Linked DNA regions of Arabidopsis thaliana. The protein of the gene in region 1 interacts with the protein of each later gene in a pairwise test. Each region holds a gene or a part of one and is shown on either strand. Other genes may lie near its edges.

Region 1 (5,739 bases):
TCTTGTAAACGAGACAACACTACAGGTTCATAGAGGAGCTAAATCCAAGTAGCGTCCTAATTTTTTGTAGTAGCAAGCCAAAACTTAGTCCTATTAATCAAACTGTTATCATACCACATGGAATTTTATAATCCTTCTCCTCCAAAAAATCATAGAACTGCTAAACACTTATCTCAAAATCTCTTGTATGTTATTGATCACATCATATGCATTCAATAGGAACTCATTTACATTTCTACCTCAGTGAGCTTACGAGCCTAACTTCTCTAATTGGACGAATACCTAGTCCGCATGTGAAATTACAAAAATTACCAAATTCAGAGGACTTGATCGAAGAATCTGGGGAAGTTAAGAACCTGTTTGGTAGTTAAAGCGCAATTGCGATTAAGATCTTCCATGAATGAGAGCGAGCTTTCTTCATCAGCAGCTTGTTGCTCGTCTTCAACCTCCATACCAACCAACATCTTCATCTTCTCAATAGCCTGATTCATTTTATCCATCTCTGTAAGTCCTCTTTCTGTAGTCTAAGCTCTTTCTTCCTAGTTCTAGTGATCAGATCTCACGCTTCTTCTTCTCAAATTGTGACAGTAGAACTGAAGTATGGTTGGATCTTCTCTGCAAAATTACGCAATGTGTGAGACTGAAAAATGAAAGAGACACTTTTCTTCGTAGGAGGAGAAAAGAAGAAAAGGCTTTAGTTGTTGGGCTTATTTTAAATTAAAATAAACTTAGCCCAATTGTTGGATCCATTAAGGTTTTATTTTCTTATTTTAAAAATTTACACATCCATTAAGGTTTTAATTAAGGCCCTTTAATTAATGAGTGGTTGACAAAAATAATATGTCAAAAATATCTTGAACTTTCAAAAAATGCCAACAATCCTCAACTTTGCTTCTAATTCGCTATTTTTGTTGATTTTTTTATTTTATTTTACTCACTTAATTTTTGTTGACTTCCCATTTTAATAGCTATTTTTTTTGTTGATTTTATCAGATATAACATATTATTTTGTTTCTTTTCTTTATATCATACAACTATATGCAATTGATATATGTAAAAAAATAACTAGATTTTTTTCTATAAATATAAGATTAACTAAAACTGAAAGAAAATATATATTATGTTTAAACTAGGTATAGATATTTTAGGAAATTAACAATTAATCGAAAAATATAAGAGAGAATTAATGATATAAATCGTTTTGTTAATTTCTTCTAATAATTTTTTGAAATCTTAAGAATTTAAGACAATAACATTCTATTGTAAATAAGTGTCAAATCCATGATTTATTTCAAAAATATCTACTAAAATGTGTATATAGATAACAACTCCTCACACAAATAATTTGTAACATAGTATTTTTTTTTCTTGTTTCCTATATTTAAGTTGGTCAATTACTTGTGATTTATTTTTTTAGTAAATAATCTCGTGGTTTGTTTTCTAAAAATGTTTTAATCAAAAATATAAAACGTAACTGCCAATCACACAAATGATACGTAACACATTTTGTTTCGTTTATTCTATATAGGTTGGTCAATTATTTTGTGATTTGCTTTTAGTAAATAATCTTGTGATTGTTTTCTATATAAACATTTCAATCATATCTTTAAAACAATAATTTTTTTCGCTTAAATGATATATAACATATTATTTTTTCTATATACATATATAATACAAGAAAAGAATTTAATTATATTTCTCTATTATATAAAATTTTGTCAATTACATAGTATGTAACTTTTATAGTACATAATATTATGATTATTTTGAGTTTTATAAGTTATATATAACCTTAATACAATAATTTCAGTATGGTTCCATTGTAAACATTTTCAAAAAATGTAAACCTAACAAAATATAAGTAAAAATTATATATCTACTTTTTGTGCATTTTTAATAAGGTGAAAGTTATATTAAATACAAAAATAGCAAGACATGTTTACGTTGACAAACAAACAAAAATTAAGCAAGTCATGTTCGTAGCAATAAATTAATAGTGGGAACAATTAAGTTAAGCGAAAAAGGAAAAAAAAAGGTACAAAAATGAAAACAAAATCAAACTGAATGAAAATTTGGAGTCCAGAATCGGAAAAACGAGGCCGTTTTAGAGCTTAATAAGCTTCCTCATTTGTCTCTTCTTCGTCAGTTTATTTTCTTCCTCCGGAGTCCTGACTCACTACTCTCACTCTCCGGCGCTTTAAACTTACGTTCTCCGTCGTTTACTCTGTAAGTTTTCTGCCTTAGAGCCTCCGATCGCCTCACCGCATGCATTCTGTGCTCGATTTCTCTTTTTCTTCGCTGGAAAAATTGCCCTAATGTTCTCGATTTCGAAGGTTTTTGTGCTATGGGTTACTTTTTTCCCTATATTTTATAGTTCTTAGGTAACGATACCTGCGTCTTACTGTTTTTGTTCATTTTGTTGTGCTTTCACCGTTTAGTCGCTGATCGGAGTATTTGACTGTGAAAAATCCTTCGTTTTTTGGTTTTTGTTTCATATAAATCGGATTGATCTACCTTTTGTGCTTTGATGTTTGTTTTTTGAGCCTATGCGTTGTTGGCTTGTTATAACTTCACGTTCATGTGTGGATTTTGAGATTTTGGTAGTGACTGTGGGTTTCTTTGGTGGCTATAGGTTGTAAAAATGAGTTCTAGGGCTGGTCCAATGTCTAAGGAAAAGAACGTTCAGGGTGGTTATAGGCCTGAGGTTGAACAGTTGGTTCAAGGTTTGGCAGGGACGAGACTGGCTTCTTCACAAGATGATGGAGGAGAGTGGGAGGTCATTTCCAAGAAGAACAAGAACAAACCAGGAAACACTTCTGGAAAAACTTGGGTTTCTCAGAATTCGAATCCTCCTAGAGCTTGGGGTGGTCAGCAGCAAGGGAGAGGTAGCAACGTATCTGGGAGAGGAAACAATGTATCCGGGAGAGGTAACGGCAATGGTCGGGGCATTCAAGCTAACATATCTGGTCGGGGACGAGCGTTGAGCAGAAAGTATGATAACAACTTTGTGGCACCCCCACCTGTATCTCGCCCTCCTTTGGAAGGAGGATGGAATTGGCAGGCAAGAGGAGGTTCTGCTCAGCACACAGCTGTGCAGGAGTTTCCTGACGTGGAGGATGATGTGGATAATGCTTCTGAGGAAGAGAATGATTCCGATGCTTTGGATGATTCTGATGACGACCTTGCAAGTGATGATTATGACTCGGATGTGAGTCAAAAGAGCCATGGATCACGAAAGCAGAATAAGTGGTTCAAAAAGTTCTTTGGCAGCTTGGATAGCTTGTCGATCGAGCAGATAAATGAACCACAGAGGCAGTGGCATTGTCCAGCTTGTCAGAACGGACCTGGTGCCATCGATTGGTATAACCTGCACCCTCTACTAGCTCATGCGAGGACAAAAGGAGCTAGGCGAGTTAAGCTCCATAGAGAATTGGCTGAAGTTTTAGAAAAGGATCTACAGATGAGAGGCGCATCTGTCATTCCTTGTGGTGAGATTTATGGGCAGTGGAAGGGTTTGGGTGAGGATGAAAAGGATTATGAAATTGTCTGGCCTCCAATGGTCATCATCATGAATACTAGACTGGATAAGGACGATAACGATAAGGTGGAATTCTTCTGTCTTTTACTTCTTTAATTTTTCTCTTGCATTCTACTGATCTTAGAATGTTACATTGTAGTGGCTCGGCATGGGCAACCAAGAGCTGCTGGAATACTTCGACAAGTATGAGGCTCTTAGAGCACGCCATTCCTATGGTCCACAGGGCCATCGTGGGATGAGTGTTCTGATGTTTGAGAGCAGTGCCACTGGCTATTTGGAGGCCGAACGCCTCCACCGGGAGTTAGCTGAGATGGGGTTAGATAGAATTGCCTGGGGTCAGAAGCGCAGTATGTTTTCTGGAGGTGTTCGCCAACTGTATGGCTTCCTTGCAACGAAGCAAGATCTGGACATATTCAATCAACACTCTCAAGGTTCTCTCCCCCAAAGAAATTTGATATATGCTTTTAGTTTTGTCATTGGAATTTAAAGTTTTGTTGGTCCGTGTTAATGCATCTGTTATGTATATATCTATGATTCATTAGGCAAAACAAGGCTGAAATTCGAGTTGAAATCATACCAAGAGATGGTTGTAAAGGAGCTGAGGCAGATCTCTGAGGACAATCAGCAGCTGAACTACTTTAAGAACAAGCTCTCAAAACAGAACAAGCACGCCAAGGTGCTTGAGGAATCTCTGGAAATTATGAGCGAGAAGCTGCGTAGAACTGCAGAGGATAATCGGATCGTGAGACAGAGAACTAAGATGCAGCATGAACAGAACAGGGAAGAGGTATGATTTTTCCTAGAAAATCACAAACTTGACATTTTGTATTACCTACTGATTCACATTTTTGATTATATTGTCCAACAAAAAACCTGTGGTGGTTTGAAGATGGATGCACACGACAGGTTTTTCATGGATTCAATCAAACAGATCCATGAAAGAAGAGACGCAAAGGAGGAGAATTTCGAGATGTTGCAGCAGCAGGAACGTGCCAAGGTTGTTGGCCAGCAGCAGCAGAACATTAATCCCTCTAGCAATGACGATTGCCGAAAGAGGTATATGTACTAACTAACATAATCCCTCTGGCGTTTTTGTTTTTCAAACCTAAGAGTAACTGAATTATTCCGGTTTTGATTCTTTCGCAGAGCTGAGGAAGTGTCAAGCTTCATCGAGTTTCAAGAGAAAGAGATGGAGGAGTTTGTGGAAGAGAGGGAGATGCTGATAAAAGATCAAGAGAAGAAGATGGAAGACATGAAGAAGAGGCATCACGAGGAGATATTTGATCTGGAGAAAGAATTTGATGAGGCTTTGGAACAGCTCATGTACAAGCATGGCCTTCACAATGAAGATGATTGAGACAAAAGTCTGGTACACAAGACAAGACTAAGTTTCTTTGTTTTGCTTTTGGTATGTCGGAAAGTAGGAGATCTGAGAGACTCCATTTAAATACTAGGACAAATCTAAGGAGATTATAGATTATTATCCTCCAATTTTTAGTAGACGGATCTAAGGAAGCATTAAGTTCTTGTGACTAAAACCAAGTTTCCTTAGTATTTTGTTTTTTTTTGGTAAAATTTCATATGAAAGTTAGACATATTACCAAACGTCAGAGTGAATCACAGAATGGCAAATCAAAATCATGTTTTTAGAATTTTATATCTACAAAATATATGGGTACAAATATTATTTTCTAAAGGTTCGGGAAATAATAGTAAATATCTAAAATACAGAGTTCTTTAGATGCAAATGTTACTTTGTTCTAAAGTCTAAAGCGACGTGTTGGTGTCATAAAACACTTCTACTTGAATCGCATTGGAAGAGCATCGTCACGACTCCATCACACTTATATATTTTGTTTATTCAAATCTTCTTTCAGATTTTTATACAAAAAATATAAATTAAATAAAGAATCCCATAAATATCTCTCTATCGAACTCTCTCTGCTTTTACAAATCTCAGAATCTCCTTCAGCGAATTCACATCTCAGCTGCTTTTGAATCCGCCGTAACTAAAAACAATCCTCCTTTTCTCGATTCGTTAAACTATGGCCCCGCCGGCAGGACAAACGGCGGCGGTGGCTGAAGCGGCTGGCGCCGATGGTGCTCCACCGCAGCAGCAGCGTGGATTTGGTTCCACGATTTCCGGCATCGTTAGAATCGCCGTCTTTTGGTATTTTGCTTCTAAGTTCTTTTCTCCTAAG
Region 2 (7,119 bases), on another chromosome or scaffold:
ATGGATGGAGGTTCTTTAGAACAAATAATGGCAGATGGTTTCAGCTATGGCAGTTTCTCCCTAATGGCCTACTAACTTTATATTCTCTCCGGCCTCTGCATTGCTTCTATGACTGAGAGTATATTGAGATAAAGAACATAATAGAGGTAGATGAGAGAGTACATATTCATCAGATGACTAGCATTTTCTACGAAATGGTGTTTTGACAATTCAAAATCTAAAAGAAATCAAGAGAGATCAAATCCCAAGTTTAAGCTCATGTGTAAACTATGGACCTTAAGTACTCTATTGCATAGAACGGCAGGCCAATGAAGTCTTCCTCTATAAGACAAATCGATGATATTTTCATCTTCAGTCTGAAACCAAGATTTCAAAATGAACTTCAAACACTATACTTGAAAAAGTGAGATTTTGTCATATATACACTCATACTTGTATCAACTATTTCTTCAAACTAAAATCAGTTTTGTTCAAAAGAAAACCTGATGCAAGAAACAAACAAAAGTATTGAAAAGTGACTAATCTTGCAGTTGAACTAAACTTGGAACATAAGAAGAGCACACAAGTCTGCCTGGTTTCCGCTGGGAATTCGGACTTACTCCAATGTTGACAGATTTGAAGTATCCATCATCTCCAACGATGTAAGCCATTTGGTAGCGACAGGTCTTGATCTCTTTACTATCAAAAAGCACAACAACTTTCTTCTCCTCGTCAATGAAGAAGCTCTTAGCTTCAAAGTACATCGAAAAATGATCCGGTAAACCATTGACTAGTGACATATCCACAGTCAAAAAAGAGCTCCAGGATACCGCATTGGGTTCAATCTTAGTCGAAATCCTAATCTCTATAATCTCAGCTGTGACGTAGTGGTTGTATAACACAGCGAGCTTCTCATCTCTAACCCAAGATAGAGTCACAGTTTCAAAACTAGGACAGGGAGGGTAAAACAGCAGAGGCAAACACGGTCCAAATCTCTCTGTTGTAAAATCAAAACAGAGTAAACAAGTTTCAATCTCTGTTACTTTCGTCGCTTGTGTCACTTCTTGACCGAAGAAGTAAGTATTTCCCTTCAAAGACACTCCGGTCTGATAAAACGGTATATCACAGTCAGGATTGACATCAAGAACCCTCCATGAATCAGAGCTAAAATCGTATACATCAATGTGAGTTCTTCGACTGCTTTCGTTGCTCTCTTCATCATAGAGAAACCTCAAGATTTTGTGGTTACGGTTGTTGTCGTATCCAAGAGCAAACCTGTCATATCTGTGGAATGTGTTTCTTGGTCGAATCCATTTCGTTTGCCCCAAATACGGATTCCACACAAAGACATTCGAGTTCTCTTTGGCGATGCATAACAATAAGCCATCGCAATGATAGACTTGAGATATCTCGACTTGATCATCATTACTAGGTATACTTATTAGCTTCATAGATGGATCAACGAAGTCTTCTTTGTCTTCGTTACGGATTCCTTGAAGATCTAATCTCAAAGAACAAACTCTAGAATCTAGAATCATGAACTCTAGAAATTGATTCCTTGCTGCTGTTTTTCTACCAAAGATCTGATTTTTCGATAAAGCATTCCACTTTTTACAAGTAGATCGCACTGAGATTAGAGATGTAAATGGAACCCTAGAAAGAATATCACCTACCAAATCATCTGATAGATCGGAAATTGTCGTCATTCTTCAAAACTTTCTCCAGAAATTTGTGTATTGTTCTTCTCCTTCAGTCTGTTCTCTGTTGCTACCTTTACTGTGTCAATGTCGGATCTCTCGATTGTATTTTCTTGATAACGGTTTGGTTTGGCCCAGGTTGTTTAAATGGGCCTATGTACAATAATGGAAACAAATAGGAATATATTTTAAAAGCCCATTAATTAGACAAATAGCACGTGAGCAGCACAAGCACTTCTTCTCCAGTCTATTTTCCCCCTCATCAGTCTCAGACTCTCTTTCGTTTACTCGCCGAAGTCAAATAAAAACGAGAGATGGTTTCAGCTATGGCGGGTTCTCCCTTTTTCGCATACTCACTAATCCTCTCTCCAGTCTCCGCATTGCTTCTATTTCTACCTCGTATCCAGTATTAGATTGAAAAAGATCTCACTGTGTAAGTCTCCAGAACCTCACTGTGTAAGTGCTTTTGTATTTATTCCCGCTTGATTCCAAAATTATTCAATCAACAATGTATTAGGTGATCGATTTCAATAGTATTTGTAGTTGGAATCATCGATATTGTCTCTTAATTTGATATTTATGGTCTTAGATCTTCCAACGGAGTAGCGAATTAGGGCTTTTCTTCAATATTTTCTCTTATCAGCCTTATCATGTGGGGGTTATTTCTGTTTAGTATGTTTCTTTTTCAGGAGAAATGGGGTCAGAGGGAAATATGAAGAAGTCGGTTGTGACACAAGTAAGCATTGGTGGATTTGGGGAATCCACTACTGCAAAACAACTCACAGATTACCTTGAAGATGAAGTAGGAATTGTTTGGCGTTGCAGATTAAAAACTTCGTGGACTCCTCCTGGGTCTTATCCTAATTTTGAAATCGCAGACACTTCAAATATCCCCAGTATTGATGAATATAAGAAAGTGGAGCCTCATGCCTTTGTCCATTTCGCAGTTTTTGAATCAGCTGGTCGTGCCATGGATGCTGCAGGGCAATGCAACCTCATCTTGGATGGCCAGCCGTTAAAAGTCAGTTTGGGTCCTAAGAATCCATATTCCCTTAATCAAAGAAGAAGAACGACTGTACCTTATAAGTTGGCTGGTATTACACTTGAGATTGGGACATTGGTTTCTCGGGATGATTTTTTTGTTTCTTGGAGAGCTGAAGGGGTTGATTTCCTGGTGGATCCTTTTGACAACACGTGCAAGTTTTGTTTCAGAAAGAGCACTGCCTTCTCTTTCAAGGATGCAGTGATGCATGCTGTGATCAATTGTGATTATAAGTTGGAGTTATTGGTGAGAGATATACAAACAGTCAGGCAGTATAAAACCTTGCATGGCTTTGTGCTTATTTTGCAGCTGGCTTCTTCACCCCGTGTCTGGTACAGAACTGCTGATGATGATATTTACGATACTGTCCCTGGCGATCTCTTGGATGATGATGATCCTTGGATCCGTACCACTGATTTTACTCAAGTTGGGGCAATTGGTCGATGTCATTCATATCGAGTGCTCATATCTCCGCGGTATGAAAATAAACTGAGAACAGCCTTAGATTATTTTAGGATGCGGAGGGTGCAAGAGGAACGTGTGAGGTGGCCTCCCCGTATCCGTAATGAGCCTTGTTTTGGGGAGCCTGTGTCAGATCATTTCTTCTGCATTCATCACAAGGAAGGAATCTCTTTTGAGATCATGTTTCTAGTAAATTCGGTATTGCACAGGGGTGTCTTTAACCAGTTTCAGTTGACTGAGCGATTCTTTGATCTTCTAAGAAACCAACCCAAGGACGTCAATATAGCTTCTCTCAAGCATCTCTGTACCTATAAACGACCAGTTTTTGATGCGTACAAGAGGTTGAAGCTTGTTCAGGAATGGATTCAGAAAAATCCAAAGCTTTTAGGGAGTCATGAACAATCTGAGGATATCTCTGAGATCAGAAGACTAGTAATTACCCCAACCAGAGCCTATTGCCTACCCCCAGAAGTTGAGCTCTCCAACAGGGTACTCAGGAGATACAAAGCTGTTGCTGAAAGATTTTTGCGGGTAACTTTCATGGATGAAAGTATGCAGACCATAAATTCGAATGTTCTCTCTTACTTTGTTGCTCCTATTGTGAAGGATTTGACATCAAGTTCTTTCTCCCAGAAGACCTACGTTTTTAAAAGAGTGAAGAGCATATTAACCGATGGGTTTAAACTATGTGGTAGAAAATACAGTTTTCTAGCATTCTCAGCCAATCAACTGAGAGACCGCTCTGCATGGTTCTTTGCTGAAGACGGGAAAACACGTGTGTCAGATATAAAAACATGGATGGGGAAGTTCAAAGACAAGAATGTGGCAAAATGTGCTGCTAGGATGGGCCTGTGCTTCTCCTCCACATATGCCACTGTAGATGTCATGCCTCACGAGGTTGACACTGAGGTTCCAGATATTGAGAGAAATGGGTATGTTTTCTCTGACGGAATTGGTACAATCACACCTGACCTCGCTGACGAAGTAATGGAGAAACTTAAGTTGGATGTGCACTACAGCCCTTGTGCTTATCAGATACGTTACGCAGGTTTCAAAGGGGTTGTTGCTCGTTGGCCATCAAAAAGTGATGGAATCAGGCTAGCCCTTCGAGACAGTATGAAGAAGTTCTTTTCCAAACATACGATCTTGGAGATCTGTTCCTGGACGAGGTTTCAACCTGGGTTCTTAAATCGGCAGATAATTACCCTTCTATCCGTACTAGGTGTTCCGGATGAAATATTCTGGGATATGCAGGAATCCATGCTCTATAAACTGAACCGCATCCTTGATGATACAGATGTGGCATTTGAAGTTCTCACGGCATCATGTGCTGAACAGGGAAACACTGCAGCTATCATGCTTAGTGCAGGTTTCAAACCAAAAACCGAGCCGCATCTACGCGGGATGTTGTCTTCAGTCAGAATTGCACAACTCTGGGGTCTCAGAGAAAAATCTCGTATTTTTGTTACTTCAGGAAGGTGGCTAATGGGTTGCCTAGACGAAGCAGGGATACTTGAACATGGCCAATGCTTTATTCAAGTCTCTAAACCGTCTATAGAAAATTGTTTCTCCAAACATGGGTCTCGTTTTAAGGAGACAAAGACAGATCTGGAAGTAGTTAAAGGCTATGTAGCCATTGCTAAGAATCCTTGTCTTCACCCAGGGGATGTAAGGATTTTAGAAGCTGTTGATGTACCCCAGCTGCATCACATGTATGACTGCCTTATTTTCCCTCAGAAAGGTGATAGGCCGCATACAAACGAAGCTTCTGGCAGTGACCTTGACGGGGACCTGTACTTTGTGGCTTGGGATCAGAAACTCATCCCTCCCAACAGGAAAAGCTATCCGGCCATGCATTATGATGCAGCTGAAGAGAAGAGTTTAGGCCGTGCTGTCAACCACCAGGTCAATATCTACTTCCCCACTTTTTTTCTGTTAGCTGAGATGATGACGCTTAAGATAAAATGGACAAGTGATTCCAGTATAACTCTCTGATATTTCTGGAAGTGGTGGAAACTTTGTTTTTGGATGCTTGTAGTGATTACTTTTGCTTGCTTCTGAGTTCATAGATTGCGTGGCATAGGTTGTTAACAGCATACTGTGTTCATCCTGTAGGAGCTAAGATGATGACATTTAAGAAAACTTTGTCATATATTGTTGATTCTGATTTGTATTTTTCGCATGCCTTACTGTGACTGTGACTGTTTAGTTACTATCAAGGGCAGTATCATGATGCTAGTAGCTTCTGCCAATGTAGTTATGAATTCTTTGTTATTTTTTCTTGCTGTGCTTGCCAAGTCTTGGGTAATTGATTGCTTTTGTTACAGGACATAATCGATTTCTTTGCAAGAAACTTGGCGAATGAGCAGTTGGGCACAATTTGCAATGCACACGTCGTTCATGCTGATAGAAGTGAGTATGGAGCCATGGACGAAGAATGTTTGCTACTGGCAGAACTAGCTGCCACTGCAGTTGATTTCCCAAAGACAGGGAAAATTGTGTCAATGCCCTTCCACCTAAAACCAAAACTCTACCCAGATTTCATGGGAAAAGAAGACTACCAAACTTACAAGTCGAACAAAATCTTGGGTCGGCTTTACAGACGGGTAAAAGAGGTTTATGATGAAGATGCAGAAGCTTCCTCAGAAGAAAGCACAGACCCAAGTGCCATCCCTTATGACGCTGTTCTTGAAATACCGGGATTTGAAGATTTGATCCCTGAGGCATGGGGTCACAAATGTTTGTACGACGGGCAACTCATTGGTCTTCTTGGGCAATACAAGGTGCAGAAAGAGGAAGAGATTGTGACGGGTCACATCTGGTCCATGCCCAAATACACAAGCAAGAAACAAGGCGAACTGAAAGAAAGACTGAAGCATTCTTATAATTCCCTTAAAAAGGAGTTCAGGAAAGTATTTGAGGAAACAATCCCTGACCATGAAAATCTCAGCGAGGAGGAAAAAAACATCTTGTATGAGAAGAAGGCTTCAGCTTGGTATCATGTAACTTACCATCCCGAGTGGGTGAAGAAGTCTTTAGAGCTGCAAGATCCAGATGAGTCCAGTCATGCGGCGATGCTGAGTTTTGCTTGGATTGCAGCTGATTATCTTGCAAGAATCAAAATCCGGTCACGGGAAATGGGAAGTATCGACTCAGCCAAGCCTGTTGATTCTTTGGCTAAGTTTCTTGCTCAGCGTCTCTAAAAGGTTATGTTTAATGCCGTAAGGCCACTCTGCCATGTATCTGTGGATTTTTTTGTGTGACGAAACATCTTGTCTTTGCAAAAACTGCTTGCTGTTCAGGATTTGTATAGCTCAACTGCTTGCCATTGTTTGTGTAATGTATTCTACTATATTATCGTCAAATATGCTCTTATTATTTTCAAAACAAATTTGATTTGCTCTTATTATACTTGATGTTGGTTAACTGGTTTGATTAAGATGAATCAAATGAGAGTCTTGAGACTTTTATAATCAAAATGTGAAATACATAAAATGTACTTATTATATGATTAGGAAAATATCTGAATTGGTAAATTTTTATTGACTCCTGTATTTATCTGTGATTATAATTAAACAGTTAAATGACTTATAAATTCATTTTTTAGTGACATTATAGGGCTTTCCTTATAAGGCCTTAAAGGCCCATTGAGAAGCTAATTCCGATAAACATTGACATTCTGAAACACTTGAGCTGCAACAACACTTTTTCCTTCACCAGTCTCTTCCTCGTTTTGGTGAGAAAACGATGACCGATGGATTTCGCTATAATGGTTTCTCTGGAATAGCGTACCCGTTTTGGCTCTCATCTCCACCACCGCCTACACCTCCACATCATCCAGCTTCTGCGCCGCCGTTTCAACAAAGCAATCCGGTTGAATCCTATGATCCAGCCAAAGAAGTGTTTGATCCGATGATGTTGTATCATGACTCTTATCAA

What was found.
Region 2: the proteins of SGS3 (region 1) and RDR6 interact in a protein complementation assay, tested with the Arabidopsis thaliana proteins (one study listed by BioGRID).

Annotation. Positions count from the first base shown.
Region 1 is NC_003076.8:7,940,980-7,946,718, forward strand, and holds SGS3 (XS domain-containing protein / XS zinc finger domain-containing protein-like protein), read left to right. Parts: upstream 1-1,928; 5' UTR 1,929-2,226; exon of another isoform or gene 2,227-2,632; 5' UTR 2,633-2,641; coding exon 2,642-3,604; intron 3,605-3,677; coding exon 3,678-3,969; intron 3,970-4,080; coding exon 4,081-4,325; coding exon of another isoform or gene 4,326-4,331; exon of another isoform or gene 4,332-4,427; coding exon 4,428-4,594; intron 4,595-4,684; coding exon 4,685-4,895; 3' UTR 4,896-5,166; downstream 5,167-5,739. Other genes in the region: AT5G23550 (Got1/Sft2-like vescicle transport protein family), read right to left, coding at 357-500; AT5G23575 (Transmembrane CLPTM1 family protein), read left to right, coding at 5,584-5,739.
Region 2 is NC_003074.8:18,348,457-18,355,575, reverse strand, and holds RDR6 (RNA-dependent RNA polymerase 6), read left to right. Parts: upstream 1-1,902; 5' UTR 1,903-2,109; exon of another isoform or gene 2,110-2,365; 5' UTR 2,366-2,370; coding exon 2,371-5,085; intron 5,086-5,507; coding exon 5,508-6,383; 3' UTR 6,384-6,595; downstream 6,596-7,119. Other genes in the region: AT3G49510 (F-box family protein), read right to left, coding at 519-1,685; AT3G49490 (uncharacterized protein), read left to right, coding at 6,928-7,119. UniProt on the Arabidopsis thaliana protein: RNA-dependent RNA polymerase involved in post-transcriptional gene silencing (PTGS). Possesses ssRNA and ssDNA-dependent polymerase activity, but does not have priming activity.